4 linked regions of the Pelodiscus sinensis genome follow. The protein of the gene in region 3 interacts with the protein of the main gene of each other region in a biochemical or structural test. Links are inferred from orthologs where the notes say so. Each region holds a gene or a part of one and is shown on either strand. Other genes may lie near its edges.

Region 1 (7,971 bases), on a different chromosome or scaffold from region 3:
GTGTCAGGAATGTTTGTTCAATGGCTATGCTAATTAGCGAGGCTCCAGGGACAATAGATCTCTAAATGCCAAAGACACACCTGGGGAATGAATCTGGATGCCTGCTGACAGCCAGAATAATGATTGCTAGCTTAAGACACAAGGATCGGTCAATGGACCATGTGACCTGCAGTGACCTGTTCTGGCCAGGAAGATGCCAGGAGAGGTATATAAGTTCCATGTGGCACCCTCCATCTTGTCTTGAGTTCAGCTCCTGATCCCAGATGCAGCCTTGCAGGGAACAACGAGCCAGGAAGAACCGTGGACTCATGTACACCAGAGACTTTTAAGATAGCAGTTTATAACATCTCTGCTAAGAGCCTGTATTGAGAACTGGGTGATTTGATGCATGTAACGTATTCTCCTTTAACAACCGTACTCTCATGCTTTTCTTTCTTTTAGTAATAAACATTTAAATTTTAGATTCTAAAGGATTGGCTCAGCGTGATCTTGTGGGTAAGATCCAGAGTGTAAATTAACTGGCATCTGTGGCTGGTTTCTTGGGACCGGAGGAACCCATTTGGGGAAGGTGAGATTGGGTTCTATAACCCCTCACCTGTGTGCTAAGCCCGGGGCTGATTGGGGCACAGGGAGCGCTGGAGTGTCAGAGGGGTTTTGCTCATGAGGCTTCTGGCTGGCCAGATTGGAAGCTGAAGCACTGTGTGACTGGTTTGTGGCCTATTTGGGAAGGTCTCCAGTCTGGGGCTGTGAGGAGCCCCGAGTGTGAGCAATTCACCCTGAGTGGACACCATCAGCTGTGCCCAGACCCGGCCTGGTACATCACATCTTGAGTCCCTACCCCCAGCCAGAGTGAGAAATACAGCAACAATGTGCACTTTCCCCTGGCTCCCTGACATAAGGAAACAGCCAACAATGTTCCTGGACAAATCCGGGGTAGGAGAGAGCTTCAGCCATCACCCCTCACCATGTGTAAAGGGCACCCAAGGAGTGGAAGTCTTGGGGACGGAACAGTCCTGGACGGGGGTGCCCCTAGCTAACCCCTTTCACCTGCTTGGTGAGTCTGTTTCTTTTCTGTATGGTTTTATAAGAGGAAATCCCATTCTAGCCACATCCCGTTTTCCTGGCACAACCATATACTTACCTTGCTTTAGGTTATGATAAGAGGAAGCTGTATACCAAAACTTGGTGGTCCTAGCGCTTAGCGTTTAGAAAGAGTCCTTGAAAACACAAACTCCCTCAAATATATAGTAGATAATAATGTTATAATATAGTACTGATCACATGCAAACTACACCCACTTCATCTCCCAGATAGTGAAACTAAGGGGTTGCCTCAATGGTCTCCAGGAAGACTGTTAATGATTCTTCCAGAGGAAAAGGTGTCAGCAGCTCGGAGGAAAACTTTAGCCAGACCACGGTTGAAAATACCTGTTCTGCACAGAAGCATCCTGGCCAACTACTGGCCAAATGACATAACTTCTGGGAAAGATAAATGATAAGGACTTAGCATCCTCACATAGGTTCAGCTTCACCCACCTGGACACCTACTGTAAGGTTTCAGGCCATGTCATGACACAGAAACAATGTTAATTGTAGTGGTCAGAGATCTCCTTAGGCCAATGAACAGATACCAGATATCTGATTACTCAAAATTTTGGTGACCTTTGACATTGCTGCACATGTGAAATTACTAACATAACTGCATGATTTGGTTTAGAGATAGATGGAATTGTCTTAGAACCACTCACTCCTTTCTGATTATTCCCAGATAGTGGTGGATGATTTTTTGTCTCCCAGCTGTAAAATCCTTGCCAGCCTCAATACTAATAAACTTTTTCAATAAAAGATACTAAAAAAAAATCATGACCCAGTGACAGACAGCTTTACTTTGTTTTGTCTTTTGATTGTGGAACCTTCCCTACACTAGGTCAGTAACTAGCACATATTAGGAGATGAGATCTGCTTGATGCACCTCAAACCAGACAACACATAGACAGGTGAAACTAATTAGTAGGGAAAATGCTCTCTGGACATTTGAAATCTGTATAGCCATCTGTCCAACCATTAACACTTTAAGGGATTTCACTAGAACAGGTATGTCTAATGGTTCCCAACTTTTTCCAGATGGGGACTCATTTTGACAATTCAGGAAGACTTGGTGACCCAAGGAAATTCAAAAACGGGGAGGAGAGGAGGCAGAGCCTCCTGAGGAGACACTTGGTGACCCTTTTGAAATGTAATGGAAGCCCATATTTGGGTCCCAACCCATAGGTTGGGAAACCCTGCTGGAAGAGAATTAAGAAGAAATTTGCACAACAGGTTGTCAGCCGACGGTCAGGGCAGTGAGTCCCTCATGACCGGCTGAAGTTCTTTTAAATTGTGCTTGGTTCTGTTACAGCAACTGAAGGAGTCAGGTTAAAGCTTAAACAGTTACTATTTTATTGTTACAGGGTAAACTTAGCTGTTAAATGCTACTACTGTGTTACAGATAACACAGACACTACAAAGGACAGGACAGAAATTACACTAATAAGTCACTTACAGGTACCATGAAACCCTTTGGTTCTCTGAGCTCTTATTAAATGCATGCAAAATAGACATATAGCAGGTATATATTCTTACCCCTGAGTTCCAGACTTGGCGTGGCCAGCGTCTTTCTCTCAATCCCTCGGGAAGAAGTAGGGCGAGGTTGGGCGTCCCACAGACCTCGGGAGACAATCAATACCTGCCAGCAGGTATAGATGATTGGAGCTCAAATGGGGTGGGCGGCTGAACCTCTTTTTATACCCCTTGGGTCATGTAGGCTTCTTCCTGGTTTCAAGTGGCCAATTAGGAAAAATGGCTTTGAATGCCAAGTTTCCCACGAAGGGTGCAAAGCATAATTTACACCTGGGAAAATGCAGACAATGGGCACCTCTGGTATGTGATGGGCGAAGATTCCTCTCCTGGGACAGTGCAGACGTGTCAATTACTGGTACTAGCCATCAGGGCGACGGGAGGCCCCGGGTCGTCAGCTGGCCCATTTACTGTCTGGTTTCTGTTTATGGTAGAGTCAGGGACAGGCAGCAAACCTGTGTTCCCAGGGCATCAAAGGCTGACTGCCTTTCTCTTGCTCTCTGGGGGGAGGAGGGGGGAAACAAGATGGGGCTCGTGGAAAAACAAGATGGGGTTTTTGTGTCTGGCTACACAGGTCCTCAAAATTATTTCCCAATCAATCAGTATCACTACCATCTTGTTTTATAATGAAAAGATGTTCCCTGAGCCCTGATCCATGATTTTAAAACTGGTGATTCATAACATAGCAAAAATGATTTTTCCCTTGAGCATTTTGATGTTGGGCTTGGGTTTTGTTTTGTTTTAGAGCTCAAAATATTGCCATTGTGTAGATTTCCAAAGAAAGTGTTAAATGGTGCAGCACAAAACAATATTTTATCCTGTTGATTTTAATTTGGAAACAGTAAAAAAAAAAGTTAAGTACTTCAGAATACAATCACCCAGATTCCTGTATATTGCTTACTAGAAATGTGCAGTGTAAAAATTTAAGTCAACCAACATTGCCCAAAGCAGGAGACAGGATCAAAAGAACTTTCACACTTCTTCAGATGTTGTGCCCATGAAAACTCATTATACCATCTACGTTTTTTGTTAGTCTTTAAGGTACTGCAAGACTATTCATTGTTTTTTTATTTTTTTTTATATTACAAACTAACAGGGCTGCCCCTCTGAAACTTTCAAAAAGGGCTAACAAGTTGTCTCCAACTCCAGTGCCACTTCCAGGAGAGGAGCAATATAGCCATGAATTGCTAATGTACCCCAACCACTTTTTGTCCTGTTAATGTGGATACTTACATTTGGTTTTTTTTATAAGCCTCCCATCCCCCGCCTTTTAGGCATGACACAATTGCAGCAGCATGTTTCCATTAATGATATTAATATTCAGAGGGGTAGCTAAGTTAGTCTGCAACAGGAAAAACTTAAAAAACAACAAATAGACTAGTAGCATCTTAAAGACTAACAAAACATGTACAGCCTCCCCCCCCCCCCGAGTTACAAACGAGTTACAGACCAAACACTTGGCCGTAACTCAGTTTGTTCATAACTTGGACCCCATTAAGTTACATAGCAACCGCGCTGTTCATAAGCACGGGTCTCGTTCGTAACTCAGGGACCGCCTTTACAACCGCTCCATGGGAGTTTTGCTCATAAATGCGAACAGTCGTAACTCGACCGTTCACAACTCAGGGACCGGCTGTAGATACCATCTACATGTTTTGTTAGTCTTTAAGGTGATATTAATATTTGTTAGGGGAACAATGTTTTCTTTACATTTGATTACTTTGTGACCTGGGGGCCCCAAGATGCAAAGCTCCAGACTAGCAGAGAATCCCAAGGACTGGCGGTCTCCTCAGACAAGCACAAAGGCCCAGATCCTCAAAGCCTAAATAGCTTTGAGAATGTGGGTGGGGGCAATGAGGAAATCTCAAACAGCGATTCTGTGAGCCAATCCACAAAATACAAATTCTTCTATCAGCAGAGGAAATGAAGCACATTTACATGGGATGGGGTTCCCACATCTCCCAAGTCAGAGGTCAGAAACCATGGGCATAGCACACCTTAGTTCAGGGCAGTACACTATTTGGTGTCCCATCGTGCGTAAGTGCTGGAATTAGGGATGCAGGGGTTGCTGCAGCCTGCAAGCACCCCCTGGCTTGAAGTGGTTTTTCTTATATATGCAAATTTAGAGTTGGGTTTAGTGGCTCTCAAGCACCCTCACTATACAAGTTGCTCCAGTCCTTTCCTCCCCCTCCCCACTATACCCCTAACCTAGGGGACTAAAAGCAGCCGCTTCTATTGGGTGTCCGTGGAGAGCCGCAATGGGAAGGCCCGGGTGCAGTTGCACGTGCATGCTCGCCCGGTTCCCCACGCTAGCTAGCGCCTAGGCAGCGGCAGTGGGAGGGCCACAACGCTTAGTGCTGCCCCGGAGGCAGCGGGCGGAGCTCTTCTCCGACCCGGCGGAACGTAAGTGAAGGCAGCGCGCGTGGCCGGGGGAGGAGCCGCAGCATGGCGCACCCGGCCTCGGCCGCCAGCCCCCGGGTCTTCTTCGATGTGGACATCGGGGGCGAACGAGGTGGGTGCGGGCGCGAGAGCCCGCGGAAGGAACGTTGGCCCCGGGCAGGGTAGCGGGGAGGGGCCCGCGGCTCGTGCTTGCGGGGCCCGGGCACCCCGGCTGCGCTGCGTTTGCAGCCTCTTGCGGCCGCGCCTTGGGCCAGGCGGCTGCTTCTCGGAGCCTGGCGGCGGCTCCGGCGCAACAAAGGGGATTTGTGGCGGTCAGGGGGCAGCCTGCCCCGCCCCGTGCGGGCCATGAGCGCTGCTCGCCCATCCCTCTGCCAGGGCCTGCGCGCGCTGCCCAGGGGCTGCTCCCGGGACAGCCGTGAGGCCTCAACACCTTCAGCTGCTGGTGGCTCCCTCCCTGGCGCCTGCCTGCACTGCAGTGCTGAGTAGCCAACCTAGGGTGATTTACAGCCACTGCAGCAATCACGGTGGCGGCTGGTGGCTTATATCAGCTTCCTCCTGGCCTTCTGTTGCGCACCCTCACCGGAGCGCTCCCATTCCCTGAAAAGCGGAGGGGCTGGTGTTCTCAGCTGCCCCTCGGAGCTTCTCACCTACCTAGGAGTGGAAGGGCCCGGTGCCAGATTTCTTGTCAGTTTCAGGTTTCCCAGAGACCGCTACTATAAGGAATACAGCGTCTCTACACACTTTGCTGTGTCTACACTGCAAGAAGGGGCGGTGTAGACAGCTCTGATTCTAGTGCAAGAGCCACTTCTGCAAAAATGGCGGCTCATTAGGTATGCAAATGAGGCTCCACGATATTCCACGCTTAGGCTCATTTGCATATCTCTGGCGCATCAACCCGCCAGTGTAGACACAGCCAAATTTGTGTGTTACTCTAACAGCAGGGACATAAGCCCTATGTCTCCTGTGAGGGAGGAGTTACTAGTCAGTGGAGTAGGGCACTTTAATTGGTGGGAGCAAGCCTGTAGTTATGTCCGCCTAACTCTAGTATAGATGGAGCCTGGGCAATGCAGGCGGCCAGCTGGCACTTAGGTTGTGTACATCTCTGTGTCAGCCACATCTAATCCAGCAGCTCACCAGCCATGATCACAGACTACTTTTTCTTTACTGTGCTTGGCTGATGTGATACTTCATGCAGCTAGTCCTAAACTTTCCCAAACCCATGCGTGCTGCAGCATTGAGAGGAATACAGTGATCTTTTTACAAGAGATGTCAACATGTAGATGACTAGACAATTGACCGATATGCCTGGGCTTATTGGTTAATCCTGTTGACAATATGCACCCTCCCCCCTGCAAGGTGGAAGGCAGGAGCCGGTGCCTGTGAGCCAGCTCCCCATAAGCACTGGATCCCATAGAGCCACCTTCACCTCCACTCCGTACTGCCAACTCTGATAGAGAGTCAGCAGTGTGGAGGGTGAGAGGAAGCAGGCGAGAGCTGGTACATGTAGGGAACACACACTTTGACTCCCATGGAGCCGTCTGCCCTCTCCATTCCTCTCCATGCTGCTACCCTTCTATCAGAGGCAGCAGTGCAGGGGGACGAAGGGTTGTGCAGGCAGGAGCCAATATGCAAGGGGAGATGGCTTTTAAGCCAGTTCTCTGTGTGTGCTGGCTCTGCGGAACCTCGGTGGATAGAGGCTGCTTTGTGGGATGCTCGGGCCCCTGCGGACAGCGGCAGCAGGTGAGAGCCGATCTGCACAGGGAACCGTTTTTTTTTAAACTAGTTCCTCTTGCAAACTGGCTCCCACCTGCCACTCAGTTTCAGGGAGCTCCCTAGGAGTGGGGCCGGGAGCATATTGGCTGCTGCTGTCTCTGGTACTATCGAATAGTCGTGTAACCATTAAAATTTGATGAGGTTACACGACTGTTCAGTTGCATGCTGTCTGTCTAAGATCCATGCTGTTTACTCTTTTCAAGTGGCAAAACCTACCAGCTTGCCATATTCACTGGTGTTAACATTCACTTACCTGCAAACACTGTACCATTCATTTAGGTCAGGCTCTGGGGTCAGGCCAAAAATGAGGGGTTCAATATTAGGGATGCAGTATCCTGTTTAATCAGTTAACCAGGCTGGAGCCATTGTAGGGGGCTGCTCTGTCCAGGCATGCTGGGCCTGCTGTGGGCAGGGGCTACTGCTGCGGGGCATGAATGCACTCCAGTCCTGGTGGGGGAGCATCCCCTCACCCATGGCAGGTGAGGGGCTGCCTCAGATCCTGCTGGATACCCATAACCAGTAAACATCACCCTATTCACATTCCTATCTGGTATGTGGGACATGGGCTGCCAGGGAGCAAGGTGGGGTTGTGGAGTCTGAGCAGGAGTCAGGGTCTGAGTTATGGTTCAGGAGTGGACTAGGGATGTAAAAGTAGTTGAATAGTCGAGTTGAACATTCACATTCTCCCCCACCCTCCTTTGCTGCTTCTATATCAGAGGCAGTAAGTTGGGGGGGAAGCAGGAGCTGTTGCTAGGGGGAGCTGGCTTAAAATCCAGTTTCCCTCTATCACCATCTTTGCATTGCGGGAGGCAGAGACGTGCCAGGTTCTTACTAATTTAAAAGGAAGAGCTGCAGCAGTTGGGAGGTTCTTCCTACATTTAAAAGGCAGAGACACAGCAGGGTCAGTTCCTGGGACAGTTCCGGTTTGCGCCCGCTCTGGGATGCTGCAGCTCTGCCTTTTAAACATAGTAAGAGCTGCAGCTGGGGTAGCGAATGCCCCCCTCCCCCAACTATTTGAGTGGTTGATGGAAATTCCAATGATTACTTGATTAGCTGATTGATCACAATTTAACATCCCTAGAGTTGACTGGGAGTGCAGGGTCTGGGTGGGAGTTAGGGTGCAGAAGGTAGGCTGCAGGAAGGGACAGGGGACTGGGTTGTAGAAGGGGGCAGGACATTGGGT
Region 2 (7,630 bases), on a different chromosome or scaffold from region 3:
GCTTGCCTTGTCATTGGCTGCAGGGCCTGGGGGGGGACCACAGGAAAGGGGAGCTCTCGGTGCCTACGGGTGGAGGGCTGGATTGGCGCTCTTACAAAATCAGCCGGGGGCGAACTGGCACCTGGAAGTGGCTCGTTTCTCTGGGCACATCTACGCAGCAGGGCTAAAGTCGGAATAAGCTGCGCAACTTTGGCTGTGTTGATTGCGTAGCTGAAGTCGAAAGAGCTTCACTTGGCTTTTGGTGCTGCCTGCACAGCAGGAAGTGGAAGAGGGAAACCACTCTTCCTCCCCCTCCCCTTGCCCCTCGTGAAATGAGAGTGACAGGAGTCGGGGTAAGAAATCCTCCCGTTTGACGGTACGGTGAAATAAAGGCTTGTAGTGTAGATGCGCATTTTGTTATTCCAAAATAATGCTGCTGTGTAGACGTACCCTCTGGCTCTAACCACTAGACCCCAGAGCCAGGGATCGGACCCAGGAGTCCTGGCTCCCTGCCCCTCTGTGTTCTAACTCACGCATGTTCTGACCGAAGGCCCAGTCTGGACGAAGAACCCCTCAGAAGTGGGGGTAAGAGGAGTGTGGATGCCAGGTGTTTATTCCCAACCAGGCTGGAAGGGGAGGGAGTGAGGTGAGGGACCAGAACTGAGGCTCTAGGAGCTCTGCCACGGCCGTGCTCTATGACCTGCAGCTCACCCCCTTTTCTGTGCCTCAGTTTCCCTCAACACCTGCTAAATGCCTTGTGTGCATCTTGCCTGCCTCTTGTAAGGAGGGTGGGAGGCTGCATTGCCAGCATGTGGAGAAAGGGGTGAGGTTGTTGGGTGAACCCCCCCCATCGCCCGCTCCGATAATCACAGCTGCCGGCTGAGCGTATGCACCCCCGGGCACGGCAGGCAGCGGCAAAACCCTGCTTCTCCTAAGGGGGCAGGGGCCCCTTAAGACAGAGCCGCCAGGCTTGTCATGGGCTCTCGGGCCACTTCCAGGCCAGCCCCAGGCCCTGCTGCTGCCGTGCACGGCCCAGCTGGCTGGAGCTACCCAGGCAGTTGGATCCAGGGGTGAGGGAGGTGGTGCCCATAGGGGGCACTGAGGGGAGGCGCAGTAAAGGGCCGGCCAAGCTCACCCCTCCGGCCAGGGCAGACTCCAGCATCCTTTGGAGCCAGGCCTGGTGAGGAACGGGGCACTGCCTGCTCCCTCCTTAGCCTGGCTGGGGTTTTATCCCTGCTTGCTGGAGTACAAGCCATGGGTGATGCAAGGTGCTTGGAATCAGCCCTTCTGGGACCCAGAAAATCACTGGGCTTGAACCTGCCACTCCCCAGGTGCTGGGCTAGCTCACCTACCTCTCGACCAGTAGGGGGCATCAGAGCACTTCACGAGGGGGGTACAGTCCCCGCATCTGTTCATCCTGTACCTAGAGGTACATCTGCATCTGCGGGGACCAGCAAAGTCTGGCTACTAAACAGAGTGAAGGGCGCCCCCTGCTGCATCACCCATGGCACAACCTCCCCCCCCCCCACAGCAGTGGGAGAGTGAGAGAAGAGTGCCCCCTGCTGGGTCCTAGCTGGCTTCCTGCAGCACCTAGACTTCCATCTATACTCAAGTGATGCAGTGACCCAGCTGTACCAGGAGCAGCAGATGCTTCCTAAAAGAGCCACGGCCCCTCCTCCTGAGGCCCCACCTCCTCTCGTTGGGCAGGGCCCCAGCCTTGCACCATTCTTGGAGGGTCCTGTCCTCATGCCACCCCTTCTCCAGGGTCCTGGCCTCGCATTGCCCAAGGCCCTGCCTCCAACCTGCTTCTTCCCTGACATTTCCCCCACCACACACGCTCCTCTCCCCCTCCTCGCTCCCCCTCGTGGCTCTCACAGGCAGCCACGGCACTTTTACAAGTGAGGGGCCCTGGCTGGAGCACCAGATACAGCAGAACTCGCGCTCCCTCCTGCTCCCTGGCTGGAACGCAGGGTGGGGAGAGCTGTGGAGGGTTGCGGGGGGTGGGCCTGGGTGCAAAGTGCGTGGGCCACAGCCCACTCAGGCCCACCCGTGGCTACGCTCCTGCCATTTGGGCACTGACTGTGCAGCCCCCGTCTCTCTCTCCCAGCATAAATCTGGCCATTTACCAGCTCTGGGATCTCAATTCCCTGGGCCGGGGGGCTCAAACTTCATTGTACCATGATCCCCAACCATGAAAATTACGACAGGATCCCCGGAGGTGGGACTGAAGGCTGAGTCTGCCTGCCTGTGCAGGGTGGCCAAAGTCGAAGCCACGGGAGGAGCAGTCAAAGTCCAAGAGCGTCAGCCCTGGTGGGAGGCCTCTAAGCTGAGCCCCACCACCCAGAGCTAACGGCCTGGAGCTCTGGCCCTGGGCAGGGGGCTTTGGACTTCAGCTTTGGCCGAGGGCTGTGGGGCTCGGGCCAGGCCTCGTGACCCCATTGATATGGGGTCATGACCCACTTTGTGGTCCCGACCCACAGTTGGGAATCGCTGCCCTAGACGAATGACCCAAGCTGTGGCCCTTTCCTGGAGAGATGGGTCAAGATGCAGGTTTGACCCAGGGAGCGATTGCAGGCTGCCCTTGTAGAGGGTCTAGATCAGAGGTGTCCAAACTTTTTTCAAAGAGGGCCAGATTTGATGAAGTGAACATGCGTGAGGGCCGACCATTTTGCCTGACATTCTTTGAACCATTAAAATTAAATGCAAATTAACTATTTTATGCAAAGTTTATTGCAAACGGCATACTTTTCATTTCGTCACATGGATGACAAATCTAAACAGGTGTTAAATCACTCTGCCTTTCATATCTGAAGGCCAGATGAAAAAAAAAAATCCAGGAAGCTGAAAGATATGTCAGGAACATTGTAAAGTACATGACATATTATTGGTAATAAAGGTTGTCTGTCAACTTTTAAGTTCAAAAAATATGAACAGGAACATAACACCAAGTATACATGTTGTGTCCAAATGTATTTATAACTGATTTAGACCAACTGACATTAACTGAGATTTTACAATGTATTCATCTCAATACATATGGATTCATTGGGGGCCATAAAAGATAGATATTGCCAAATTACCTGGGGGGCCGTATTAAACCGGAACACGGGCCGCAATTGGCCCGCAGGCCGGACTTTGGACATGCCTCGTCTAGATGATCACATGCTGGAAAAAGCCAACCGTCTGCAGTCAGATGGCCTCCTCCTGCCATGGGGACAGCTCCAGCAAAATCTAGCACCGTGGCCTAGTATGTACAGCACTGGACTGAGACCACTCAGGGCGCCTGGGTTCTGTTCCTGACTCCAAGGTGACCCAGGGCGAGTCACTTCCTCACTCTGAGCCTCAGTTTCCCCATCGGTAAAATAAGGATATTTGATCTCTGCAAAGTGCTTTAAGCTGTACCTGTGACAAGCACTAGATAAGAGGCAGGGATGATATTCTTCTTCCAGATTAGATGCTGTGGGGGAGCCATCCCATGCCTCAGAGCGGGGCTTGCAGTGCTCAGCTAAACCACATGTTCTCCCCAAAGCTGGGGGTCTGATGTGGGGAATGACAACCACATCCCCCGTCCTGCCTCAGTTCAGAGCCCACGGCACTCCTCAAAGCCAGGAGCTTTGGGATGGGGCCGTACCTCTCTGCCCCTGCTGAGGTCCTGTGACCCCACGGCCACGCACCCCAGGATGGGACTCTGGAAGACTGGGCCCCCCATGTTGGCTCAGGGATAGTCTCTTGCTGCTGCCCAATCATAACCAACCTGCCACAGGTTCTGATCTAGTCCCCTAGTGCTACCCAATCACCACCCCCCAGCTTGATACTGTCCAATCGTGCCCCCACCCAGGTGCCACCCAATCACACCTCCTCCCTGGGGTGCCTCCCAATCACACCTCCTCCCCCTGGTGCCACCCAATCACACCTCCTCCCTGGGGTGCCAACCCAATCACACCTCCTCCCCCTGGTGCCACCCAATCACACCTCCCTGCGGTGCCACCCAATCACACCTCCTCCCCCTGGTGCCACCCAATCACACCTCCTCCCTGCGGTGCCACCCAATCACACCTCCTCCTCCAGGTGCCACCCAATCACACCTCCTCCCTGCGGTGCCACCCAATCACACCTCCTCCCCCTGGTGCCACCCAATCACACCTCCTCCCTGGGGTGCCACTCAATCACACCTCCTCTCCCAGGTGCCACCCAATCACACCTCCTCCCTGGGGTGCCACCCAATCACACCTCCTCCCCCAGGTGCCACCCAATCACACCTCCTCCCTGGGGTGCCACCCAATCACACCTCCTCCCCCTGGTGCCACCCAATCACACCTCCTCCCCCAGGTGCCACCCAATCACACCTCCTCCCCCTGGTGCCACCCAATCACATCTCCCTGGGGTGCCACCCAATCATGCCCCACCCTGCTGTCGTCCAATCACGCGCCTCCCTTTGCCACTACCCAGTCATGCCCCGCCCCCCAGCCCAAGGGACAGCTAATCGCCTCCAACGTGGCACCGCCCAATGGAGCCGGGGGGGGGCATGGCCACTCTAGCCTCCCTTCCCGGGACTCTATGGTGCAGAGTCGCGCTTCCCAGCCTCTCTATGGCTGGGCCCCGGGCCCCGCCTCCTCCTCAGTGCGCGCGCGCGCGGGGGAGCGTTTGCGACCTTCCCCGCGAGCCCCTCCCCTCCCCCTTGGCGTTTGCGGCAGCGCTCGGCGCCGGGGCGGTTGGGCGCGCGCGGTTGCTAGGGTCGCTTTACGGCCCGGCGATGGCGGAGGGAGAGCGGGCGGAGCAGAGCGGAGGCCCCGGGCGGACCCCCCGGGAGGGGGAGGCAGGGGCGCCGGAGCGGGCGGAGACCCTCAAGTGCCAGGCCAACGAGTACTTCAAAGGTAGCGGGGGGCTGCCACATAGGGAGCCATGGGCGGGAAGCGGTGGGGGGAGGGGCTGCCAGATAGGGAGCTATGGGGGGGAGGGGCTGCCACATAGGGAGCCATGGGCGGGAAGCGGTGGGGGGAGGGGCTGCCAGATAGGGAGCCATGGGGGGGAGGGGCTGCCACATAGGAGCCATGGGCGGGAAGCGGTGGGGGGAGGGGCTGCCACATGGGGAGTTGTGGGGGGAGGGGCTGCCACATGGGGAGCCATTGGAGGGGGGAGTCAGGGAAGGGACCCCTAGATGGAGACCCAGAGACTATGTGGCAGGGATGACTGGGCGAGGATCCTGCCAGCTGGGAAGGGCTACCAGAGAATGAACCCTGTGGGGGCAAGCAGAGAAGATGGTAGGTAGTCAGAGGCAGCCTGGCCTAGTGGTTAGAACAGTGTGTGCTCTAGTCATGGGGTCCAAGGCCAGAAGGGACCCCTGGGAACAAGTATCCTGACCCCGCGTATTGCACAGGACAGGGAACCACCCCCAAATAATTCCTAGGGCAGATCTCTTTGAAACCCATCCCATCTTGATTTAAACCTGGGGGGTTGATTGTAGGGTGTAGTCATTAGAGCTGGGGACTGACGCCTGGTTTTTGTTCCTGGCTGTGCCACTGGCCTGTGGGGTGACCATAGACAGGAAATTTTCCTGCTCTGTGCCCCAGTTTCCCTATCTGTAAAATGGGGTTAATGATATTGACCTGCCTAGTACAGTGTTCTGAGAGCTCCTGATGAAAAGCACTAGCGAAGAGCTCAAGATTTTCATCCTCGCTATTGATTGTTGCGCTCAGGACAGAGGCCTCATGCAAGCAGTGGAGACTTGGCCCCTTTGGAACTCCGTTTGCGAGGGAAGTGGGGCAACAGGAAGGGCATTATGGCTTAAGAGCAAATGCTTTCCCCTTCTGTTGCTCTTTATTCAGGATATCCAAGTCGTTTGCAGATTTGTTAATTAGCTGCTACATCGCCCTAGGGTGAGGGAAGTGACTTATTCAGGGTCACCTAGGCAGTCTGTAGCAAAGTAGAGAGTAGAACCCAGGAGTTCCAGTGCCAAGTTCTCTCTTGTAATCACGGAGGCCTGCTCTGCACTTGAACGTTTTACTGTTACCATTATTGTGACTCAGGAAGTGATTTTTTTTTTTTGTAAATGGGGTTGTGCTGCTCTAACAGTGCTGGTACATTTGAAGTGATTCAGTTTTGATAATACTCATCATTGGGCTAGTAAATCAGAATAAAGGGGCCAAGCTAGGAAAGGGCCTCAGGATGTGTGGGTGTGGAGGGGGGATGGAGGAACAAGGTCAGCATAGTGAGCTGTTGATGGGTTAGTGTTAGAGGAGATGTTGGTCTGTCAGAGGGATTGGTTTTCTACACAGGGCGCTATTCTGGAATAGCTGTATAGTGGAATCAGTTTAAAACAAAACCAAAACCAGTGCAAACCTCATGCATGAACTCTTATTTCCATTCAAGCCAGGGTCATTTCAGCTGTTCTTAGATTGGTTACGAATCAGATTAAATTAACCAGAAGCAAGGCCCTCTTAGGTCAAGTGTCCACACAGCAGTGTGCATGGGTTTAACTACATTGGTGTAACTTTAACCAATGCAACATTTTTGTCTAGACAGATCCTTATTCCAGATTAAAATCATTCACACATTGTTATTCTGGATTCGCTGTTCTGTTTTAAATCCACATCCTCCCTTATTCTGAAGTTCTTGTGGAGATAAGTGCTTATTCTGAAAAGAGAGTGCCTTTTTCCAGAGCAGTTTGATCCCTTTTGGAACGGGCTTAGGCCAAGCCGCAGCAAGGCCCTCTTGTTCTAGGAATAGTGGGCGCACCTATGGAGTTATTCCTGGATGGCTGCTCTGCTTTAAATTTACACCCTACCTAATTCTAAAGTAACTTTCATGTGGAAACAAGTCCTGAGGTGAGGGATGTACTGTCTGATGCAACAGAGGACATATTCCCGCAGGGCTGGATAATAGCGAATGAGATGAAATAAATCAGTGGAGCAAGCTACTGGCAGGAGAAGGAAGGCCTTGCGGATGCGTGTTGCAAATAGGGTACTGGTTCCCATAGGCTCTGAAGGCTTTGGGAGTGGCCTGGCCTCTCCTGGGAGGGATGTGCAGACAAGTGATTTCTCTAGCGACTGTCTGTGCCCTGCCCTCCGGGAGTTGCCTTAAGAGACACCTGCTGTACGGTACAGTCCAAAAGCCGACATGGCCTTCTTGGAAGCGGCCCTGTGTGTGAGCTCTTTAAGGCCTCTTGTCCTTAGGCCTGAGTGTCTTGTGTCCATGGGAGTTTCTGGTAAAAAGATCCCATCTTGAGAGCCCAACTTTGAAAGCTTTCCAGCAGGAGAGAGCCTCCTTTCTTCCTTGCTCTTTGTCAGTCATTTCTTTTCACTTTAACCCTTCACTCTGCAGGCAGCCCATCTTGGAAAGCCTGGAAGCCAGGGCCCAACCCTCAGGCACCGCTTTTACCTTTAGATATAATCCCACTGAAGCAGGAGGGAGGATTGTGAAGAAATCTGCACTTCCTGTCCTGGAATGTACATAAAACTTGGCATCGCCACCCGCTAGGGGAACCAGGACATACCAGACTGAGTCGGACCCAGTGGGAGATAGTTCCGGCTTCCCATCTCTCCACAGTGGTCAGCGCTGGTAATGTGAAAGTGTTCCAGGTGCACAGTTAACTGATGAGCCTGTGCTCTTTGGTTAACATGCACAGTTACACCCAGCTCCCCCACCTCCCTGC
Region 3 (7,330 bases):
ACACATTTTACACCCTATTCTGTGGCTGTCAAGAGAATCAGGTCTGAAAGCACTGCTGTTTGGCAGGAGTCCAACAGCAAGTGCGTGTGGTGGAGGGACAGGGGAGAGAAGATTCTTATTTAGGATTTGTAGACAAATGTCTATACTACACATTAAGAGTCATTAATATACTTATATCTGGTCCATCTGACTCCAGAATCATTTTTGTAAGTTATTATGGCTAAACCTTGTACTCACTTAACATTCTTTACCACCAGTTAAAATTGTGTTAGCTTTCCAAGCTGAACACTTACAAAGAGTGTAATTGGATAGCCAATAAACTGAGAATGCTTCTTCACAATTTCCTTGATTCGTCTTTCTTCCAGGTACTCAGTCTGGTCCTCCTTAAGATGCAGAATAACTTTCGTACCACGGCCAAGAGGTTCCCCTAGAATAAGGTTTGAGTTTTACAGTAAGCACCAGTAAATGTTTGGAAAGATGTTTAAGACAAACAGAAGACTACTGCTATGGTACTATTGTAACTGGCTTACAGCTTAATTAATTTTGCTGCAGATTAAGATATATCACCCTTGAGAAGCAGTTATTTTAACTGTCATTCTAGTATTACAAGATACTATATGCTACAGCTGTAGCACCTTGAAGAGCCTTCTATTCATGGATTTCCTTATACTATAAAGGACTACTTTAGAACTACCTCTACAACACCAAGTTAGCACTTACCATTATCAAGTCTGACAGTAAATGATCCTCCAGCAGAAGATTCCCAAGCATACTGCTCATCATCATTGTGCTTGGTGATCACTGTTACTTTTTCAGCAACCAGGTAGGCAGAGTAGAAGCCAACACCAAACTGACCAATCATAGAAATATCTGCACCTGCTTGCAATGCTTCCATGAAAGCTTTGGTGCCAGATTTGGCAATAGTACCCAGGTTGTTAACCAAGTCTGCTTTGGTCATCCCTATGCCAGTATCCACAATGGTCAGGGTGCGATCATGCTTGTTGGGAAGAAGGTTAATTTTCAGATCTTTTCCCGAATCTAGTTTGCTTGGATCAGTTAAACTCTCATATCTGATTTTGTCCAGAGCCTACAAAACAAGAATACAACTATCAGACCCCTCACCACACTACCTGTATTTAAAGGTAATAATGTCACTGATTGCATGTGACATTTTTCTTACTTACATCTGATGAATTAGAAATCAGCTCCCTCAGGAAAATCTCCTTGTTGGAATAGAAAGTGTTGATGATCAGAGACATCAACTGAGCTATTTCAGCCTGGAAGGCAAAGGTCTCCACCTCCTCCTCCATTGGCTGGTCTTGAGTCTGCACAGCTTCTGGCATCTGTAGAATTAAAATGAAGTTATAACTTTAAGCTCTTAAGAATGGCTCTTAGGTGAAGAATACTAATGTTTGCTCCGTTTTATGTTCAACCACCTAAACTGCTGTTAACAAGCACCACCACTTTGGGAAAGGGTCGTGGACAGCATATAGCATTTTAAATATTCAACTAAGAAAGACAAACCTAACTGGTATGCTCTTCCTGCTGGCAGCAAAGGGCAGTCCAGCTCATTTATAACCCTTGTCTAGGAAGGCCTGTCAGTGACAGATAAGTACAAGTCTCAGCTCCTCAAGAGGACGAAGGTTTAATGTGGCAGTAATTTGTCCAATTGCCTACCATGCATCTTTAAAACTCAGAGCATACAGAATTGCAAGAACAATACTAAGTGCTGAATACAGTAAGTTAACATTACAGAATCTAACTTTCAAAAATTAAGTTTCACTTTATACAACATTTGGATCTAGAATGTGACTTGCAAGACATACCTGGATAATCTGGTTAGTGTCAAATAGTCAATTTTTTTGTTTTGGCTGAATACTCAGTCCTACTGGGAGCTTTCTCCTAAAGACCACAGAACATTATAGCTCATACACTTTCAGCTTGTAACAACACAGGTTCTTTTAACAGAGAAGAGTGCCATCTCTTGCTAGGTATCTATACATCAGAGGTAACAATCTATTGGTCATGCAGGAAAAACTGGTTTTGCCAGTCAGGGGAGCCCAGTGCCATGACTGTTTAAACTTGCACTGCAGCATTTAAATCAAATCCAACTGAAGGGAGACCTCACTAGCTACTTTTCCATTGCAGTAACTAGTAAAATGCACTGCACTACAGATAGCCACCGAGAATTGGGTCAGTCCAGATCCCCAAGGGTACTTTCTACAGCAGTTCAGGCAGGCTAGACACCACAGGCATGGGAGAGTGGGCACTGACAAACATGGGAGCACAGCGCCCCCTACAGATCCAGACCTGGAACAGATTCTAGAAACTGCGAGAGCCTTCCTCTCCTCCCCCTCGTTCCACCTCCACCTCCCCCCCCAGCCGCAAGCGCAAGTCCCGCGCCCAGCGGACCCTCCCCTCCCCAAGCCGGTGCCCCCCCCGTGCCGCGCGACAAGCCCTCTTCCCAATAGACCCCTCCTCCTGCTGCCGGTCTCCATCATCCCCCCCCTGCATGTGAGCCAGGCGGGTACCCAAGGGGGCGGGCCCCCTACATACTGCGTCTCCCCGCTCCCACCTACTCTTCCTCCTCAGCAGCCACCTAAGGGCCACGAACGCCCCTTAACGCCCAGCACCGCTGTGCGCCAGGCACTGTGGGCTGCGCCCCTCACATCGCCCCCCCGCACTGCCCACCCCCGCAAGCAGGGCAGCCTGCTCCACCACACGGCGCGGAAAGGCTCCGCCATCAATCTAAGCCACGGTTCCAGGCTCAGCTAGAGAACGAGCCCGTTGAGGAAAAAACCATCCTGGGGTCGATCTTCCAGCCACCGCTCCTCGCGCCTCACCTTGGCGGTGAGTGTTCTTGGGGCTCCTGCTCCTCTAAGTTAAGCGTCCTCCTCTTTCCGCAGTAACGGAACTGGCGGCTCGCCGCCCCCCGCCCGGCTTATATACTCCCGGCGCCGCCTCCTTCCAGAACCATCGGGAACCTTCACTGACAGGCACGGGGGTGGGTAACTCCAACCTTCATCACTGGGGGAGGGGCTGACGGAGGGGGGCGGTTGCTGCGATCAAAATGCGCGTGCGCTGGGCGAACCGTTCTCGGATTGCGCATGCGTTTTTCGTCTGGCGCCTCGCTGAGGCGACTGCGCATGCGTCATGCGGAGCCCGGCTCGCACGCGCGCTCCATTTCCAATTGTCGCCTCTGAAGACGGGGATGGGAAATGCGCTTGCGCGAGGTCAACTGTCACCGGTTGGCTTCGGAAAGGGCGGGGAGAGCTAGTGCGCACGCTGCAAGGTGACTTCATTCATTGCAAGCCGGAGCCGATCTCCTCCCCTCCGAACATCCTAGAAGGAGGCGGAATCCATCAGCCTCTGTAAGTCCCGCCTCTCGGGCTCTGCCTCCCGCCCTCACCCTGCTTCCCGCAGAAGGTCCTAGAAGCAGCCAGAAGCGACGCGCTTCTCTCTGCCTCCCGCACCTCGTGTGAGAGCTGGGGGGCGCTACCCCGCCTCCAGCTGCGTTTCCCTTCAGGGTCTCTGCGTTTCGGTGCGTGGCCCCGGGGAGCCCCGTCGCGTGCTCCCTTCCATGCTTCACTGCGCGACCCCCCCCCCCCCCCTTCCTATCATGCTGCATGGCTCTAGGGCGCCTCTCCCCCCGTTCCGCGTTTCATGCGTGGTCCGGGGTGCCTCTCCCCCCATGCCACCTTACATGCACGGCCTTGGGGCGCCATCGTGCCCCGCTGCAGTGTACAGATCTGGGGCGCATCTTCCCCATGCCACGCCTCAGTGCATTAGCCTGAGACATCCCCTCAGGCTCTTGCGTGACTCTAGGGTGCCTCCCCACACTATACTGCATGGTACTGCGGCCTGGGTTCGTCACTGCAGCCCTGAGGTGATCCGCATACACGACTGGGTGGCTTTGGGTCACCCACAACATGCCATGCTGCACTGAAAGTTCCTGGGGCAGCCCCCTCACATGTCACTTTGTACTGAAAGATGTGGGGGGCACTCCCTAATCTCACCACATACTAGCTCTTGCCTGTCTACTGCATTGGGCTTCACTGGTGCTTCTCTGCCTAGCTGCTACCTCCCCCCCCCTCTTGTTGCGCTTCCTTCACTAAATTTAGGACTTGACTGCCATGCAGAGAGAACAGACCTTGCATTTAAAGTAAAGGGTTTAATAGTCTAGTTCAGCAAATTTTGAGCCCAAACGAAACAAAATCAGAAACTGAAATTTTTAAAAATTGAAATCCTCCCCAAAAGAAAACATTTTGAGATGACCAAAATGTTCCACTTAGAATTAAAACATTTAGCTCTTATTTTGACCTTTCAAAATGTTTTAGATATAAATCAGTGAATTTCATGTGAACATATTATAGCCCCTTCATTCTGATATTTTTTCCAAAATGAAATTTCACTTAAAATGGATACCTTTTGTCACTTTTGAAAAAAGCAGATTTTTTATTAGAAAAAATATTTAAACAAATTTGCCAGCTGCTCTATCTCCAAGTCTTAATATCCTGATTTTGCAGTATGATCCACATACGCAGAAATGACTGGAGTATTAGACCTAAAGGCCTGAGTTTTTGTGTGATCCCTTGATCTCAGTGATGATTGTGGGCTTTCAGAACCTTTCAGAATTGAGCCCAAAGAAACAGACAGAAAATAGTACAGCGAGTAGGGCTGCAGAAGTTGCACTTCCCTGGCTCATCTCCCCCAGATTACGTATCCACTACTGGGGTTTCTGTACCCAGATCTACCCTGGGCCCTGATCCTGCAAAGATTTATGTATACACTTAATTTTTACGCAAATTGGCAGTTATAAGGAGGAGAGTGCTTTTGTCTTTGCAAGATCAGGGCCTTAGTTTGTAGTGTGCATGTCAGTGATGTGCAGCCTTTTTTGATCTGCAATCCCCAAGCTGCGGGGGCTACCAACTGCTGGGTCCAGCCCCCGGCCAGCCAGATCTAGGCACTGCACCATGGGGGCTACTAACTGCTGGGCCCAGCCACCGGCTGGCTGGATCTAAGTGCCGCGCTGCGCCCAGCCAGCTGGAACTAAGCACCACACCGTGTGGCTGCCAACGGATCTAAACACTGTGACCCCCCCCCCCGGAAAGATATCTGTGACCTCTTTGGGGGTCACGACCCACGGGTTGCGCACCACTGGTCTATGCCAATAGCCATATTATTTTCTTAGTTTTCTATTTTAAAAACCATATTATTTTCTATTTTAAAAACCATATTTTCCAGGATTTTTTTTTAAGAAATCTTGATTTATGTTCAGCATTTTTCAAAGATCATAGTCACTAGCATTTTGCCTATATTTAATGGCTACATTTATTTCTAGCTTTCAAAATGGCAGGCAATATAAAATCCATCTTAGATGGATTTTTTTCAGAATTCTTAGAAAAATCCACTTGGAGGAAAGTGTTCACATACCAAACTTAAACTGCTCAATTCAGCATCTCCCTCTCTGCTTAAGTCCTATCCACATGCCAGCCTGTGCAAGTGTAAAGCTAATATTTTATTTATGAATCATGCTTAGATGCTGTACTCTTTTTGTTGTATTATGTGACTATAGTAACAACTATAGTGGTTAAGCTACATATAAATCTCTTTTTCATTATTTTCCAGTGCTGAAATGTCAGAAGCTTTATTTGTTTCAAAATCTGATATTTGCAAGTGGGGGGTGAGAGGTGGAAAGACAATTGAGCAAAAATAGTCAGGTGTGTTTGAAAACAAAAAGACTGAAAATGTACTTTTCCTATTATAACAATATGCAATTTTTAAATGTTTATTTGTTATCACTGTAGTTCCAAACATGAGTTAAGGAAACTGATATTATTACATTGGACTAATTACCTATCATTGGAGAACAAATAAAACAACAGGTCTAATGTCAGACTTGTTGCTGATTTGGTGATTTTTCATTGTTGGAAGGAGAAGTGCCAAAAAAGCACAGTCCTTAACCTGAGGAACATCAACCTTTTATCTTGCTCTTATAATAGTCCATACCTGTAGACACGAACAACCTCAGCTTTTTGAAAATTCAACTCTAATCCAAATGTTATGGACGTCATGCTCTGACTATGACATACCATGCTATAGGTATGCCTCTGACTACCAGATGCTGGGACTGGAGAATCGTGATAATTACCCTGTTTTATTCATTCTCTCTGAAGCTTCTGGCATTGGCCTCTATCAGAAGACAGTATACTAGGCTAGATGAACCATTTGTCTGACACAGAATGGTCATTCCTTTGTTCTTGGCTTCTGCCCACCTCTAATCAGAAGCCACCTCATAAGACACCATACAGTAGTAGGTCAAATGTGCATTGAATTTGATGGTATAGATCCTGATGCTGTAATTGCATCTGCACAGATGGAGCTTTATTTTTTGAGACTCATAGTTGTCTGCTGTGATACAGTCTTTAATTACATGTTCACATACTACTTGGGCTGAAAGACTCCATGCCTCAGTCAATCCATTAGGAGGATGGTAGAACAGAAGATTGCAGGAAAAGAAAGATTAATGTCTTGTATTCAAGACACTTGATTAAAATTCAGTGAATGGGTTTCTATTCCTATCTCTGCCACAGGATTTCTGTGCATTCCTGAGCAAGACTTTCATAATACATAAACACAAGGAGGTAAAACTAAGACTGCATGGAAATTTAATTATAGCATTTTCTAACTTCTGAGTAATTGACTTTGTATCCTTCCTGTTCTTTTACAGAATTTTTTAGGAATGTAAATCTATTTGCATTCTTGTATCATGGCCATCATAATGTTATTTGAGTGTTTCAGGTGTGAGGTACGGAAGGGAAATAGAATTTTAGCATCTGAAATTGTTCACAAAAATAGATCCCAGAGAGCTGACATAATGAGGAAGAGTTGAAATGTGAAGCTGGATTTTTTAGCACCTTCTGCTATGGATATAAAACCTAGTGGTGGCCTAAAGAAGTGCAGACCCTGTTAAGGATACCGGTTTGCAGAGACGAAAATGGGCCGGTACCCAGTACAGGCTGATATAGCATACCGGTAAGAAGTGGCTGCCAGTACTTGCCCATACATCGTTGACAATAAAGTGCTGTCATGGCAGTACTGCCGGACCCTATCCTGGGCCCTTTAAATTACTGCCAAAGCCCCAAGTGATACGCACTGTGCAGTGCTAAAGGGGAGGCTGGCAGATGCTGGTCCGGAGTCCTGCCCTTCTCCCAAAGCTCCATGCGGCTCCTGTCCTGGGAAGATTTTTAATTTACTTTCACCACTGCATGACTGAGCAAAGGTTTATGCTTTGATAGTAGTTTAACTGTAAAGTGCTGCCCCTACTGCT
Region 4 (7,350 bases), on a different chromosome or scaffold from region 3:
GCTGGCTCCCCCTGAAAACTGGCTTCTGCCTCTCCCTCCTCCTCCACTGCCTCTATGGAAGGCAGCAAGGGGGGAGGCAGGTAGCTCCACAGAGCTGGCATGCATGGAGAGCCAGCTTAAAAGCCACCCCTCCCCCCCCATGCTGCCGCCTATAATAGAGAGGCAGCAATATATGGGGGTGGGGGGGCAGTCAGTTCCACAGGAGCTGATACATGCAACAGCCAGCTTGAAAGCCAGCTCCCTGCGTGTACCGGCTCCCATCTGTCCCCACCCCCGTGTCGCGTAGCTGCCTACACTTTGACAACCCTACTGCAGATTACTTACACTGACTGTGGGCTGTCATTCTGGTCAATTGTATGACTCCATGGAGCAGTCAAATTGACAAGAAAGCTGTGCTGTCACCCTGTTAGAGACCCGCTATCTCCAGACACTCCACTCCCAGACAGGTTGCACCCACCCCGCTTCCAACTCCCTTCCTGGCTCCTACTCAGAGACTTCCTGCAGAGAGCCTGAGTGCCATCTGGACTCCGGTTGCAGTCAAAATCCTGGAAGTGGTGAGCCGAGCACCTGAGGGGATGTGGAGAGCAGATGCCCCTCTGCCGTAAAGGAAGCATTTCTCATGGGGATACACACCACTGACAGGAGAAGGGTAGTGTGGACACGATCCATTGCAGTAATGACTGGTGGTTGTTAGTTGACATCACACAGGTGGATGTAAGTTTCTAGTGTAGACTTGCCCTCAAGCAGTGCACCATTACAAGGTCCTTTTATGTTGTTCAGAGCATTATAAATGAACCTTAGAATATGGCCTAGTCCATGCTTAAAATATAAGTTCACAAAACTACAGCACTCAGGGCCTGAAAAATCCACATCCAGCACCATACCTATGTTCACCTAATTGCATCTGAGTTTACCTAATTGAGTCTGTAGATGTAGCTGAAGAATGCTTCCATCAACCTAACTACCACTTCTGGGAAGAGTGTGTGTGTGTGTCCATAAAGCAATGGATTAACCCCTTCTCTCACTGTAGATTGTCTACCATACTCCTCATAACATAGACCTGGTCTATGTCTACATTACAGACTAAGGGTGGCTCTGGACCCGTGGTCACCAACCAGTAGATCGCGATCTACTGGTAGATCTCAGGGGCTCCAAGAGTAGCTCTTGAGCCCTCTCTGAACTGCGCACCTGCGCAGTACATTTACATTAGATTTCCTCATGTAATGTAGGCGCGGCTTCAAAGAAGGGGCAGGGCAGTAGATCTTCGCATGTTCTGAGACTTAAAAAGCAATCTCAGGTGTAAAAAGGATGGAGACCACTGCTCTAGACTACATCCCTATTTCGATAAAGGGATGTAAATTAGGCATGTTGATATTGCAAATGAAGCCAGAATTTGAATTTCCCATGCTTCATTTGCATAATGGCGGCCGCCGCTTTTTTCGAAATGGGGCTTTTTTTGGGGGGGGGGGGGGAACTACACACACCCTGTCAGTTTAGATGGGGATCTTTTGAAAATAAACCCTTTTTCGAAAGATCCTGTAAACCTCATTTTTTGAGGAGTACAATATCTTTTGAACAAGGGTTTTATTTTCAAAAATCCCTTTTTCGTAATTTGTTGTTTATTCATACTTATGATTGACATGGCAATGCCAATACAGTTTAGATCAAGCCTCAGCATAGATCTTTCTTTCATCAACTTATCCCTGTCTACACCTGGGGTTAGGTCTGACTGCAATAACTTTTCAGACTTAATTTTTCAAGTATAGACCAGGCTTGAGCCTCAGATAGAACCACACAGTAGGATGCATGAGAAATAGATCTATCAAGTGAGCTAAAAGGGAGCCTTTACTAGTGGTCACTCATTTTAAAGGTTCAGTGTCATCAGTAATGACAGTAGGATAAAAGTAACACAAGTGCTATGTTTTTAAATTAGAAGGATTTTGTTCAGTAGTTTGAGCTAAGATCTGGGAGTCCAAGCTTCTGAGTGATATTCACAGCTATGTCTTGGATTCACTGTGTAAGCAATGACAAGTAGTTTGATCTCCTTGTCTCACCATCCACATGGAAAACAAATATAACGCATACATTAGGGATGTAAGAGTGTAGCCATTTCAATGAGTAACCAGAAAGTATGCTTATCGGTTACCCAAACAGCTACACATGGCTCACCGTCTGGCTCCCAGGAAGCTGCCTGCCATCCCACGCTGCTGCTTACAATATAGAGGCAGCAGCACAGGACAACAGGTAGGAGCCGATATGTGTGGGGAGCAGGCTTAAAATCTGGCTCCTCATGCAAATCGGCTCCTGCTCTAGGTGTAACTGTGTAATCACTGAAATTGTCAGCAGTTACATGGTTATCGAATTATACAAATTTTAATGTCGCTATTATACATCTCATGGAGACTTGTGGGACTTAAATTAAAATATACCATCGGATTAATTTTGGCCCAAGAATCTAGGTTTAGTACAATAACTTTAGAGGGCATAAAATTCATAGAAAGAACGTGTGCATGTTAATTAACAGAAAAGCTTTTGATTTCTTAATTGATCTTATTTCTTCATTCTTTGCAAACCAAATACAGCTTACAAAGATAGCTTCCATTACAAAGATAGCTTCCCCAATTATCACCTCTAATATCATTAGCTCAGACATTTCCCCCCCTCCCCCATCTCCCTTCTGTTCTGAAATTTGATTTGTCCTTTTCATATGTGTTCATTTTTTTTTTGGTTGTATCCTTTGGTATATATGGTCGTGCCAATTTTCTTCCACAATTTGATCTGAGGAAGTGAGTCTGGCCCACGAAAGCTCATCACCTAATAAATCATGTTGTTAGTCTTTAAAGTGCTGCATAGTCCTGTTTTTTGTTTCAGCTAGACCAGACTAATACGGCTACATATCTATTACAAATACAGCTTCATAGTGAAAGTGTGAGAACCAGGAAGCAAAGCTTGTCTCTTTTCATTCTCCAAGCTAATTACAATTGTCCAGATCCTCAAAGGTATCTATGGGAGTTCAGCTCCTAAACACTTCTGAGAATCTGGACCTAAATGTACATAAAGTATAAAGGGTGGACACAAAAATTGACTTTTAAAATCTTTTAGTTTTATTAATTTAAGGTTCTTTGCCCTGCCAGCAGCCTTTTATTGCTTGCTTGTTTAGTGTTTTAACACCTTTTATGCATGTGCTGTATAAGGCCCTGATCCTTCAAAGAGGTCTTACAGGATTGAGGCCTACAATTTCAGTATAATTATTAAAAAAAACTGCAGAGTGGGATTTCTAAATACTGACATTGATTTTAACCTTTTAAAATGAGCAATAAAACATTTCTAAAAAGCATTCATGGAATACTTTGTTTTGCATTGCAGAGCACACCCTAGCTTTACAAACCTTGGAATTTTCAGCTTCGAAAGCAGAAGCGCTGTCCATGTATTCTTTGTAACATCAAATGTATCAATAAAGATAAAAAGCAAATATTTGACTCACGTGTCAAAAAAGGGAATTAACACGAGCATTAATGGCATCTTGAACATGTGTGTCAGTACACCTCCCGATAATTCTTTCTACATAACATCACAAATACACAGGATCACTGCCTCAAAAACCTTACAGGTAAATTGCAGCTAGATTCCCCCACAAGGGTCTATTTTACACTTTTCGTGACAATCAAAGGAGTTAAACTGGATGATGAAAGAAGCAGAGGAGGTGCCAAACACTCGCTGGGCCCTTGCACGCATGGAGACAAAGAGGTGGCGGCTGCAGAAAGACACAGGCCCTATATCGAGGAGGGGGTCACCGCGCCGCAGAGCGGGCCAGGCCCCCGGGAGAGGTTTGCCATTAACAGGAACTGAAGTCTCTGACCTGAAATGATGCACAAGCCCTTCGCAGCCGGGATAAGCCTCTGAGCTGGGAGCCCTGGCATGGCTGCGCCCCGCGCAGACACCACGCTACTGCCGGGTGCCGTGGTCCTTAGGGAAACCAGCGCCCCGCATCCCCCGCGCCCCTGCAGCTGCCATCCGCGGCCGCGCTGCCAGCCACCTGCAGACTCCCCGCCCCCGCTCGCACATTGCGGGGGCCTTCCGAGCAGACGGCCCTGACTAACTACGTCATCCGCAAGTGCCTCTTGCCCCGCGTGCTCCCAGCCTTAGCTGTCCGCGCCAATCGCCGCAGCTCTGCAAAGGGAGGCGCCTCAGCCGAACACTGCCCGGCCACAGCCAAGCAGGGGCTGGAGTGACTAAAGGACGCGAGTGATGACGTAACGGAGGGCGGGGGGGGCGCGTAACGGACAGTCACGCATCCCCTTCTAGAAGGTTCCGGTAGCCGCGCAGTGGCGGGGCCGAGGGGTTGCGGACCCTGGAGGCGGAGCCGGGAGGCCCCGGCCAGGCCTTGCGCGCGGAGTAGCGCAGCGTCGGCAGGGGGCGGGAGCGCGGAGGCGGAGCTGCGCGCGGCGCGGGACTCGGGGGCGAGGGCTGGGAAGTTGCGGCGCGGCCGGCCATGGATCCGCGCAAGGTGAGCGAGCTGCGGGCCTTCGTCAAGCTCTGCAAGCAGAACCCGGGCGTGCTGCACAGCGAGGAGCTGCACTTCCTGCGCGAGTGGCTGGAGAGGTGAGTCCGCGCCGCGTGCCTGGGGCGGGGTGCGGCGCTGTGTCGGTGGGGCGGGGCGCGGCCCTGGCTGTGTCCGCGCCTCCGGCGGTAGCTAGTATCGGGCGCTTCGTAGCCCGGCGTGCGGCCCCGAGCAGAGGAGGCAGCGCCAGGCTCGGGGCGCTCAGTTCAGGGCCTGAACCCGGCGGTGGAATGACCCGCGTAGCTGCAGCAGTTGCCCCTGTTCCTCATCTGCCCGCGGTGCTACTTCAGAGCGACTTCGGAAAGTAACTCGCAGCGAGGGGCATCCGCCATAGATCACATGCTAAAATGCCTTCAAACCACCACCTGCTGCTGGAACTTTACTTGCCCCCCTCCCCCCCCCCAAACCAGGCCAGCCTCAGGAAGCCCAAGTGATAAGACTTTCCAGTCCTCAGGAGTGTCTTGTGGTGGCCAGGGCTGGATTAAATCTTTGGGCAGGGCTATTAGATTTTTGCTTTTTGGGTCCAGAGTGGGGCCTAAAAATGAGGGGTTCAGATTTATGGGAGGGGGTTGTAGGTTGAGAGCCAGAGGGGTCAAGGGCTCCAAGAAAGTATGTAGGTTCTGAGGTGAGACTGGGGATGAGGTATTTAGGGGGCAGGGCCTCAGGCTGGGGCCTAGGAGTTTGGAGTGGGGGAACAGGCTCAGGACAGGAGGTTGCAGGGGACTGGGTGAGGGATAGAGTGCTGGAGCAGGCTCAGGTCTGGGTTGGGTTGCAGAGCCTGTTTGGGAATTAGAGTGTGAAAGAGGGCTCAGGCCTGGGGCAGGGGATAGGAGAGTGGGGGCACTTACCTTTGGCAGCTCCTGTTTGGGGTATGGATGTACAAGGTGTATCCATAAGCATCAGCTTATCTGTTTCTGTTATGGTTATACACTGGCTTCCCCAGGAGCCAGCAGTCACCCCTCGCTGCAGGCTCTGCAGTATAAAGTTGTACTCAGACTAGAGCCTGCAACAAATCAGCTCCCAGTGTGTACTTGCTACCAGCCCCACACCCAGGGAGCAGGCTATCACCCTGCTTATAAACGGGTTCCTGACGTTCACCTACTCCAAGCTAGTGGCCCCATTTTATTGCAGTCTGCAGCACATGTAACCGCTAGGATTTTTAACAGTTACATTTTTAACTAATTTTTTTTAACATTTCTAGTTTGGGGTGGTTGGGACAGATGGCTAGCCTGAAGGTACTGCCTCCTGCAGCTCTGGTTGACTGCAATCCCTGGCCAATGGGCAGCATGAGATAGAGCTTCTGGAGGTGTGGGGGAGAGGCAGCATGCCAATCCACCTCCTCCCAGCCTGCCAGGAAGGGCTGGCCAGGAACATGGGGTGTTAGGAGCTGCAGCCCTTTTCTTAATCCCACCCTGGTGGTAGTTTACAATACAAAGTACCTACAGTATCTCTTGTGAGTACTGATTATTTGGAAACAGAAGACAAGAAATGTAAGGAAAGCCGAGTGTCCATGGATTGCATCCATTTAGTTCCAATAGTTCATTCTTCCCCAGAAAAACTTGGACACAAAGAAATGGATCCTTCCTGATATTTTCATCAGAAAGGAGGAGGAAAGAATTCTTGACAAAATGAAAAATTTAAAGCTTTTCACAGAGTTCCCCTATTTGGATGTCTCAAATGGGAGAGAAGAATTGAAAAAAATGAAGTCCCTGCCAATGTCACAAGACAAAAACTTACAGGCTTCGGGTACATGCAGTTCCTAAAACTACAGGTTGAACCTCTCTACTCGGGCACTCAGTGGTCCAGCAACAGCTGTGGTCAGGCATGATTTTAGTTAGCTGGATGTCCACTGATCATGGGTGTGGCTAAGTTTTCCATGGTCCAATAAAGTTTGTTTACAGCCGCTAATCCTGGCTCTCAATGTTCTGTGCTATTGTTCAGCTCCAATTTACTCCTAAATGTCTTCCAGTAAGCAGTGGAAGTGTTGGTAATGCTGTTAGGCAATATTGACCTCCCATAGTTCGGCAGTGGTTAAGTCCCAGGAGTGCTCGTCTAGAGAGGTTCAACCTGTATTATTTTTCCCATCTGATGATTTCAGGTTGAATGTGCCTTTCAACTGCATGTGTGAGAGAGAAGAGGAATCTTTTGAGTTGAATATCAAATCCCTGTTTATGTATTGAGAGTGTGTTGAAGTGTTGGTAGTTGTACAGCTTTTCTATCAATTCAGGTATCATACATTTTACCTGTATTTTAGGGTCCAGAACTTTGAGTCACAAGGACTAGAAATAAATTCCATAAACCATCAATAATATGATATATTGAATTTATTTCAGGTTGAGATGGTTTGAAGCATCAGATCTTAAAACTCATCCTTCTGAACAGCTTTGATTTAGCACTTGTTTAGAGGTATTAGTTACAGATGTCTGAATAATACAAGTTTCTGTCCCAGTATTTGTTGTCACCTTTGAGTTAATCAATTCAAAACCTAGGGTATGTCTAGATTGCAAGCTTCTTTCGAAAGAGAGCATCCACACCTCAAAGCCGGAAGAGGGCATCCAAACTGCATGGACGCTCTCTTGGGGCACCTGTGCTTTTTTTCACTTGCCTCTTCTTTCGAAAAATGTCCCTGTTCTGCCTTCACACATGCCTTTTTTTGAAAGAGCTCTTTCAAAAAAGGTGTTCTTCCTTGTAATTTCAGGTTTACCAATGTTGAAAAACCCCCTGCATTCTTTCGATTTAATTTTGAAAGGACGCGATTGCAGTGTGGACGCAGGTTAAGTTTTTTCGAA

What was found.
Region 1: the proteins of HSP90AA1 (region 3) and PPID form a complex in vitro, tested with the Homo sapiens proteins (2 studies listed by BioGRID). The link is inferred for Pelodiscus sinensis from reciprocal best matches to the Homo sapiens genes HSP90AA1 and PPID.
Region 2: the proteins of HSP90AA1 (region 3) and PPP5C form a complex in vitro, tested with the Homo sapiens proteins (4 studies listed by BioGRID, with this or other methods). The link is inferred for Pelodiscus sinensis from reciprocal best matches to the Homo sapiens genes HSP90AA1 and PPP5C.
Region 4: the proteins of HSP90AA1 (region 3) and ST13 form a complex in vitro, tested with the Homo sapiens proteins (2 studies listed by BioGRID). The link is inferred for Pelodiscus sinensis from reciprocal best matches to the Homo sapiens genes HSP90AA1 and ST13.

Annotation. Positions count from the first base shown.
Region 1 is NC_134715.1:59,628,816-59,636,786, reverse strand, and holds the start of PPID (peptidyl-prolyl cis-trans isomerase D), read left to right. Parts: upstream 1-4,966; 5' UTR 4,967-5,060; coding exon 5,061-5,127; intron 5,128-7,971. UniProt on the Homo sapiens protein: PPIase that catalyzes the cis-trans isomerization of proline imidic peptide bonds in oligopeptides and may therefore assist protein folding. Proposed to act as a co-chaperone in HSP90 complexes such as in unligated steroid receptors heterocomplexes.
Region 2 is NW_027465849.1:6,189,891-6,197,520, reverse strand, and holds the start of PPP5C (serine/threonine-protein phosphatase 5), read left to right. Parts: upstream 1-4,630; 5' UTR 4,631-4,732; coding exon 4,733-4,853; intron 4,854-7,630. UniProt on the Homo sapiens protein: Serine/threonine-protein phosphatase that dephosphorylates a myriad of proteins involved in different signaling pathways including the kinases CSNK1E, ASK1/MAP3K5, PRKDC and RAF1, the nuclear receptors NR3C1, PPARG, ESR1 and ESR2, SMAD proteins and TAU/MAPT.
Region 3 is NC_134714.1:22,309,889-22,317,218, reverse strand, and holds the start of HSP90AA1 (heat shock protein HSP 90-alpha), read right to left. Parts: upstream 3,004-7,330; 5' UTR 2,844-3,003; intron 1,344-2,843; coding exon 1,185-1,343; intron 1,088-1,184; coding exon 721-1,087; intron 428-720; coding exon 294-427; intron 1-293. UniProt on the Homo sapiens protein: Molecular chaperone that promotes the maturation, structural maintenance and proper regulation of specific target proteins involved for instance in cell cycle control and signal transduction.
Region 4 is NC_134711.1:89,685,952-89,693,301, forward strand, and holds the start of ST13 (hsc70-interacting protein), read left to right. Parts: upstream 1-4,347; 5' UTR 4,348-4,492; coding exon 4,493-4,602; intron 4,603-7,350. Other genes in the region: XPNPEP3 (xaa-Pro aminopeptidase 3), read right to left, coding at 3,860-3,920. UniProt on the Homo sapiens protein: One HIP oligomer binds the ATPase domains of at least two HSC70 molecules dependent on activation of the HSC70 ATPase by HSP40. Stabilizes the ADP state of HSC70 that has a high affinity for substrate protein.